2 linked regions of the Coturnix japonica genome follow. The protein of the gene in region 1 purifies or fractionates together with the protein of each later gene. This does not show direct contact. Links are inferred from orthologs where the notes say so. Each region holds a gene or a part of one and is shown on either strand. Other genes may lie near its edges.

Evidence for each region.
Region 2: the proteins of APAF1 (region 1) and cytochrome c purify together in Homo sapiens (affinity purification with western blotting; 3 studies listed by BioGRID and IntAct, with this or other methods). This does not show direct contact. The link is inferred for Coturnix japonica from reciprocal best matches to the Homo sapiens genes APAF1 and CYCS.

What each region holds. Positions count from the first base shown.
Region 1 is NC_029516.1:42,521,483-42,525,300, reverse strand, and holds part of APAF1 (apoptotic protease-activating factor 1), read right to left. Parts: intron 3,698-3,818; coding exon of another isoform or gene 3,632-3,697; exon of another isoform or gene 3,606-3,631; intron 2,268-3,605; coding exon 2,142-2,267; intron 1,304-2,141; coding exon 1,172-1,303; intron 1-1,171. UniProt on the Homo sapiens protein: Oligomeric Apaf-1 mediates the cytochrome c-dependent autocatalytic activation of pro-caspase-9 (Apaf-3), leading to the activation of caspase-3 and apoptosis. This activation requires ATP. Isoform 6 is less effective in inducing apoptosis.
Region 2 is NC_029517.1:29,070,387-29,074,808, reverse strand, and holds cytochrome c, read left to right. Parts: upstream 1-1,336; 5' UTR 1,337-1,613; intron 1,614-2,056; 5' UTR 2,057-2,064; coding exon 2,065-2,233; intron 2,234-2,611; coding exon 2,612-2,760; 3' UTR 2,761-3,824; downstream 3,825-4,422. UniProt on the Homo sapiens protein: Electron carrier protein. The oxidized form of the cytochrome c heme group can accept an electron from the heme group of the cytochrome c1 subunit of cytochrome reductase.

The sequences.
Region 1 (3,818 bases):
AAATTCTCAAAAATGTTTCTTAGTTTTACCCACGTGCTCACAGACTTGAAGCTATGCCTGAGGTTCCCCCACAAATTACTTCCATATGCTAGTTTGCATGAAAATGATTCCCATGACTATTATATAACACTTTCTGTAAAGTGAATGCAAGAACCTCAAATAGCACAAAGTTACCAAAGGCTTCTTCAGAGTGAGGATTAAACTTTGTCTAGCCTCTTTCCTTCCTTTCAGTCTCAAAGTTCAGAATTACGTAGCTTGTACACAGTAACTAAAATGAAATCTCTTAACTCAGTGTTGGATTACTGTGTCCTCTCTAATAAAGATAAAAGAACAATTTGTGCGTTAGAGGCCACACACAGACACACGCACTTTCTAGGCCTACAGCACATACTGCCTTTTTGCTACCAAACCTTTCACTTGTCTGCTCAGGGAGAATTCAAAGCAGGAACAGTTACCTGAACAGTGTTCTCTTTAAAAAAAAGAAAAAAATAAATAGAAATCCAGCCTCTCTGATTTTTATTTTACTGTTCTTTTCTATTACTGGACATACTTGTGCTGTGAAATTCCACCCTTACCCACAGCCAGGTCTTCCTTTGTTCTTCCACTTCCTCTCCTTCCGCAGACACTTCACTTACATGGCTTCTGCTCTGAGTAGACATACTGCCTCATAGTCTGAGTACTGCCAGATTGCTGACCTGACAAATCTTTTGCTTTGATTTACTGTTATTCTGTTGGCACCTACTTTCATTTCTTTATTATGTCAAATCAATTTAATAAGAAAATATATCTGCTCCCCTTCCATTAGGTTATTTATTTATTCATTTCATCATTTGGCACCTATTTTTGTATTGTTTGTGGCTGTTGTTTGTTTGTTTTTATTTCTTTACGGTTTTTAATCAGGTATTCCATTCCCAGGCTCTCCCATTCCTATTCCCATCCTCTAGAAGTCTTCACCTTTGTGCTCAGCTAATAGGAAATATGCTGACTTTTCATCGCAAGTATAAATATTCCTCTTCCGTTCTGCCCTGTCAGTACTCTTGATCAGTTTCTGTCTCTCTTCCACTGGACTCATTATAAACCTTAATTTACAGAGTTTGAAGCATATTTCTACAACAGTAATTACTCTGTTTTGATTATTCCCATACTGCTTATCACAGCCTTTTCAACTTACTTTGATGTAAGTGTCATCTGAGCAGGTGGCTAAAAGATACTGACCCCTTCTGTTATTGAACTGGCAGCAATTGACCTGCTCTGTGTGTTCTTCATATACGTACAAACACTCGCCTGTTCTTGAATTCCAGATCTAAACAGAGTTGAAGGACAAAAATCAGCTTTAAATAAATTCAATGTACTTAATAAAAAATGAAATTTCTAAATCACGTTGGAATACAAATAAAGCCCTAAAAATGCTCTTAATAACACATAAAAATGCTTGAAGAGAAAGGGAAAACACATGTAGTTACATTTATTAACACACAGCTGTGATTTTAGATTGTTTTCACTAAAATAGCAGAGATGTAGATATACACATTTTTCAAAACAAGAACTGGAACCTGGCATCTACAGCCAAAGGTTCTTATAACAAGGTGTCTGCAACCAAATAAAACCAACTTGCTCTTGTCAAAATTCAGTTTCAGCCTACTATTAATTATAGAAAATTTCACAGATAATTTTGAACAATTTAAATATCAAATGGATGAGGAGGATCATAGTTTAGATCTGAGAAAGATTAGAATATCATCAAGATTTTTGGTGCAGTTCTGAAGAATTAAAAATAAAATGAAAAATAATATACAACAGAAAGCACTATATAAGAAAAACATTTATGGATACCTTCATTTTATGTTACACACAGGACTGGACTCATGTATTGTGTTTTACATAAAAAGAAACATCTGATAGTACAAGTAAAATAAGTTGTAATTGTGTATGCATGTTGTTAACATAAGTAAATGATGCTTAACATAACAAGTATGAGATCTTTTGTTTTTAAAGTAGTGAATTATCCACATAAGGTTTAAAACAGTTACTAAAAACCTTCTGTCCTAAGAATCTGCTCTGCCTGAGTTGGCTAAAACTGAAATCTGAATTATGATGATGCAAAACAAATAAGCAAAAAAGTCTCTTCTCCATTTACTTACCTTCACCTTTTTATCAGCTGAACAAGTTGCTACGTATTTATCATCTGCAGAAAAAGTGCAGCAAAGTATTTCATCATCATGAGCACTTATCTCCAGCAATCTCTCTCCACTTTCTGCTTTAAACACCTGAAAAAATACAATGAGGAATGAAATCTTTTAGCTGGCATACAACTTCAAAACATGCTACACAAATAAAGGATTGCTTTCTCTCAAAGAGCTCCCTTAGCTAAACTCTTCATAAAACTGCTTGCATTCTGAAAGCACGTATAATTTCAAGGAAAGTAATATGAAAACATTTAATTTGAACTTCAAATCTATAGAGATGATAGAAATTATTATGGAAAGAAATAGTGAAAACTAATTTAAAAAAAATCCGTATGCATTATGTGTTTTATTAATGACTATGTATAACCTTTGAGCCAAAAGCTAGGCCTTCTACCACATAAGACTTTTGTACTCCTTAAGACTAAATACATGTACTTTCTTACTCTACTTTAATAACTTCACCACACAATAGCTTATTAACAATATCTGCACTGTTATTAGAAGTACAAATTCCAGATTGATATATACGATATCCTTCTGTTGGATAAAGGATTTTAGCAGCAATTGATAATTAAGTAAAGGTGCTAGGAGTCTCTTTTGAGCTGGTTACAAGGCAGGAAAGGGTGGCAAGGAAGAAGCACTGCACATTAACCACTTTCCTTAAATTCTGGGGCTTATCTTAATGATGGTGAAAGGTACCTTTTCCAGCTCAAGGGTAAACAATCTTCAGCTGTTCTAACAAATCACAATTTGCTCTTTGCAGCAACATTCAAGATGCTACAGTCGTGAAATCCCTATTTTTCCGATCTTCTTTCATTAAATGGGATTAACAGTGATAATGAAATAGTTGGTATTTGTTCAAATAAAAGCGACAAAGCAAAAGGAAATCTACATCTACTGTAAATTCTGCAGAATATCTGCTCTTAATTTGGCAGTCATTTCTGCTTCTGGGTTAGTCTAAAATCTGAAGGCATTAGTTTTATTTTAATGTCACTGTTAGGAAAAACAAGATTAAGATCAAAGTTCAACAATGAAAAATGATTGTTAATTTTTGTATTATCTCTTCTAGCGTAGGCTCTGGGGAAAAAATAAAAAAATAAAATAAAATAAATAAAATAAAATAAAATCCCTTTTTTTGATAGAAAGTCAAGAGAAAAACAATGAATCAGCAGTCCCAATAATGAAGCCATGAAGTACAGAAGCCCAGCACAATAACTTCAGCACAGCCACCAAGCATCTCCTTAAGTGGGTGGATGCCATGACCATAACAGTGTAAAAGCCAGCAAATAAAAGAAAGTAGTAAGCACCACCACATTACACAGGCAAATGAACAGCAACTAAGGACCACTAATACTTTTACTTTAGCAAGCATCCAAAACAATACCAAAGGCTTGCAGAAAACTTGTTCTTTACCCTTACCTTTGGCTGTCTGGAATATGGATACTTTACCAGGTTAGTGGCTGGCTGATTGCTAGTTTTCCTGAGAGCTGTCTGGCTTCCCTCCAGGCAGACTGCTGGCAAATTTGTATTAGTCACTTCCTCTCTCTCTCCCCATATTCACTTCCTAACAACTGAATACCTTTTTCCAGTCTACCGCTGCCCTCAGCTTTCAGGACTCATTTTTCTGCCCAG
Region 2 (4,422 bases), on another chromosome or scaffold:
GACAGAATCAAGGACACTTCTGCAAGCAAGCAAGCTGGCGGTGTGTAAGTTGATAGGAGGGGGCAGAGCCAGCACAGCTAACCCTGACAGACCAAGGGGATATTCCATATCATGTGTCATCATATTCAGCAATAACAATGTGGGGGAAAAGGAGGAAAGGGGTATTTTCAGAGTTACGTTGGGTCTTCCCAAGAACCCAATATGTGTGATGAAGTTCTGCTTTCACAGAAACGGCTGAAAATCTGCCTGTCGGTGGAAAACAGTGAATTAATTCCTTATTTTTCTTTGCTTGCTTATGCAGCTTTTGCTTGACCTATTAAACAGTATTTGCCTCAAGCCATAAGTATTTTTCACTTTTGCCTTCCTGATTCTCTTCCCCACCTCTCTGTGGAGAGTGAGTGAGCAGCTGGGTTGCTTGCCTGTCTACCAGGGTTAAATCACACTTTAATCTTTTCAATAATGGCAAAATATACATTGAGTGCAGTCCAGATATTCAGTCTAATAACACATTTTTCAATTGAAAAAGGTATATTTGTCAAAAAAAAAAGGAGAAGATATGTATCACAAAACTGAGAAGTAAACCATGATCTCCTGAGTTCCAGCCTAGTCCCAAGATGGCGATCTTTGCTCTTTCATCTGCTGTGTAACTCTGAAGAGAACTGGCTGGATGTTTTGTTATATTTCCTCTAATACTTTGATATATATTTGTTCTATTTTCCCTTCTTTCAGAACGAAATTACACTGCAATAAGCCTGACTGCAAAATCATCATCATTCCAGTCTGAAATGGTCTGAAGTAATAAAAAGATGAAGTTGTTTGAGGTACAACCACTGCGAATAACTGAAAGCTTAAAACACAGCTGTTCCAAGCAAACCACATCCAGGTCAACGTCCCAATTAATGTTATTACATTAAAGTTATTACATCTAGAAAAGTCACAGTGCACTGAAAATATCCTTCCATATATAATATATATAATATCTGGGACTCTGGTTTCAGACTGGAGTTCAGCACTGGCACAAGTCCAGGTGATCTCTTCATTCAGCTGCCCTGGAGATCCGTGAATGTCCCCACACGTCATAAGCAGAGCAGTTTTATTGTGGTAACTTTACTTCTGGTAGCGGTGTTTAACGTTAACACCTCACAGCGGGGAGACACTGAATACCCCGATGACGTCACGGACACAGCCCAGACCCCGCCCCCCGCTGAGGACAGAGCGTGACCCTCACCTCCCCTTCCGTTGTGCGCATGCGCCGCAGACCCTCCCGCGTTCCCCTTTACGTAGCGCAGTTCCGCCACACGACTTCCGCCGGAAGTAGTAGGACAGGGAGCCCGGCGCCCGCCTTTGCAACCTACCCTGCTAGTCACCGACGTCGTGACGTAAGCATTGACGGACAGATGTTACAACCAATCAAAATTCCAGCAGGCTGCATTTGATTGGCTACTGAGCCACAGAGGGCGGGTGGAGTACCGGCGCCGTTTGGTTGCAGCGACACCGGGTTACATAGGGCGGAGTCCGGCGTGTCCTTGGGCACAGCAGCCGGACGGCGCGGGGCGGTCGGAGCTGCAGTCAGCTGTGTGGGTGCGGTGTGAGCGGAGCGGCCGGCTGGGCAGGTACAGGCGGGCGGGGTGTGCGGGTGATCAGGGCCTGATTTCCAAGCGGCGCTGTCTGGGTCTGGAGCCACTACTTGGCCCGGCCGTTAGGCGGGATTGGGGCGATAAGGGACGGGGCAGTGCGGCTCTGACCCTGCTCACACTGCGGCCTTGAGGATCCCTCAGCTGGCAGCGGAAGGTCACGGCGGGGCCTGCTCTGCGGGAATTAGATGAGGCGTGTTTCTTGTTCTTCAGGCATAAAGCGTGGCACCTTAATAGTGTAATGGTTCTATGCAAATCTTCAAACCCTAGAGCTATAACTCGTGGCTAGAAGGCACTCAGAGTTCACAGATTGGTTTACAAAACTGTAGCTACAGCCCATCGCTGTGAACCTTTTTAAAGCTTCTGTTGAATAGCTGACCTTGATATTGTGATACTGACCTCTGTATGTGTTCTTGGTCTAGTACCGACGATGGGAGATATTGAGAAGGGCAAGAAGATTTTTGTCCAGAAATGTTCCCAGTGCCATACGGTTGAAAAAGGAGGCAAACACAAGACTGGACCCAACCTTCACGGCCTGTTTGGACGCAAAACAGGGCAAGCTGAGGGTTTCTCTTACACAGATGCCAATAAGAACAAAGGTAAATGTAAAGCAGCTCCTCCTGAGCTACTGGTGGTTCTTGGGGATAGTCAGAAGTACTGAAACCTGCAGAAAGCAAAAATAATATTCAGGCTGGACATTAGGAAGTATTACTTCTCGGAAAGGGTAGTCAGGCACTGGAATGCACTGCCCAGGGAGGTGGTGGAGTTACCAGCCATGGGAGTATTCAAGAAACGCTTGGATGTGGCACTGAGGAATATGATTTAGCCAGGAAGTATTGGTAATGGTTGGACTAGATGATCTTCTAGGTCTTTTCCAATCTTGATAATTCTGTGATTCTGTAATATGAGTGAGCAGGAAAAAAATATATATATTCATTTCATTTTGAAGTCACTGCTTGTCTATTTCTTCTTGCCAGGTATCACTTGGGGTGAGGACACCCTGATGGAGTATTTGGAAAACCCAAAGAAGTACATCCCAGGAACAAAGATGATTTTTGCGGGTATCAAGAAGAAGTCTGAGAGAGTAGATTTAATAGCGTATCTCAAAGATGCCACTAAAAAGTAAAAGTTATCTGCTGCCTTATTTATTTCACGTAGGAGTTGGCAATGGAAATGTCTGTGACAAGATTGGTTTTTAAACTTTCTATTTTTACATATACCATGTCTAACCTTAAAATCAGTTTTACCCATCAGATGATGTTGCTCATGGTGGGTCACTGAAGAACACACTTGGCAGCCGTTAACTTATGAAAACTATGTAACTGGGTTGATTTCAATGAGTATAATGTTCAGTTGTTCTTAATCATGAAATTAAAAACAAAAAAAAAATATATCCTGCCTCTTTATTGTTTAACACACAAAAAATGTATCAAACAAGTGTCAAAAGTGTTAATAGCTTTGACAACCCTACTCTTCAGAATGAAAAAGCAGAGTGGGTCTTGGCATCTTTCACTATAAGTCTTCTGCTGTGTTACACTAAAGATTTAAAAGTAAAGAAAGACTTAACAATATTTTTCTAAACTTGATCAGTTTTAGGTGTTGTGGTGCGTATTAATCTATCTAAAGCTTGGGGTAAGAATGCATCTCTCAAGTGCTGTTTGTTCAATGACACTTGTGCCCAGATCCTTTGATCTAGGAGAAACATGTTACTTGATTTATCTCGACTTTCACAGTTGCATGCACCAGTAGACTAGAATTCTCCAGCATCATCTTTAAGTCTTCTTGAATGTTATTGAAACTCTCTGTTCAGTACATCTCCGGAGGGCAAACGTTTGTAGTATAATGAATGAAAGAAGAAACACTTCTTCTGGAAAGGTAACTACTAAAAGCCAAGATGAGAGCTGATAAATCTTATTTCAGCAGTAGCATTCACCTAAAACCTACTGTTACACACAGCTGCTGATGGAGACGCACAGCAATGAATGCACTGGTAGACTAATGGGAAACAGTCTTCTTCTGTGCCTGGCTATAGCGTGTGTCATTAACAGTGTTGAGTAATATTTTAGTGTTTTAATTGTTTAGTGTTTTTTTCATGCTAAGCAAACTGTTCAGATGAATGTATTTACTGTGTATCAACAGTAAGGCACAACTTAGAGTGATCAATCTTGTACATTAAAAGAATTCAAAGTCCTGTTGGCTGTATGTGTCTGAAACCGAAATGGTGGGGTCATATGGGCTTTATGTCACTACAGGATGAGCAAAAACTCAGCGTGAAAAAAGTAAGTGCTAATAGAGATTGTGTGAAAGGTACTTGGAAGTGTGGCAGAGTTAGGAAGTATTTTGAACTAGAAGCAGCAAAGCTAGGCTGGGTAGGCAGAATATTGAAATGGAAGCATGTAAAGTTGTCACTTATTGAGGTTAGTATGAATGCAAGTACCCGGGTGGTACTTCTTTGTTGGTTTCTTTGTTAGGTTTTCGATTTGTTTGTGGAAGGGGATGTAACTAGGGAAGGAATTAAGATTGACTGTAAAAATCAATGTTTTGTTCTTTGGTTTCAAGTTTTACTGAACAGAAAGATTATGAACTAGCAAGTGTAGCATTTTCAGTCTAAAAACGTGGTATTTCAGTAATCTATGGTTAGAAATTGAGGAATCAAGGCAGCAAACATTGCACAATCCCATAAGGATGGGAGCTTGATGGGGCTATGCCATTAAACATACACCTTTTCAAAGTATTTCTTTTCCAAACCAGACTGAAACAGGAGAATTTTGAAATCATGAAGTTATTA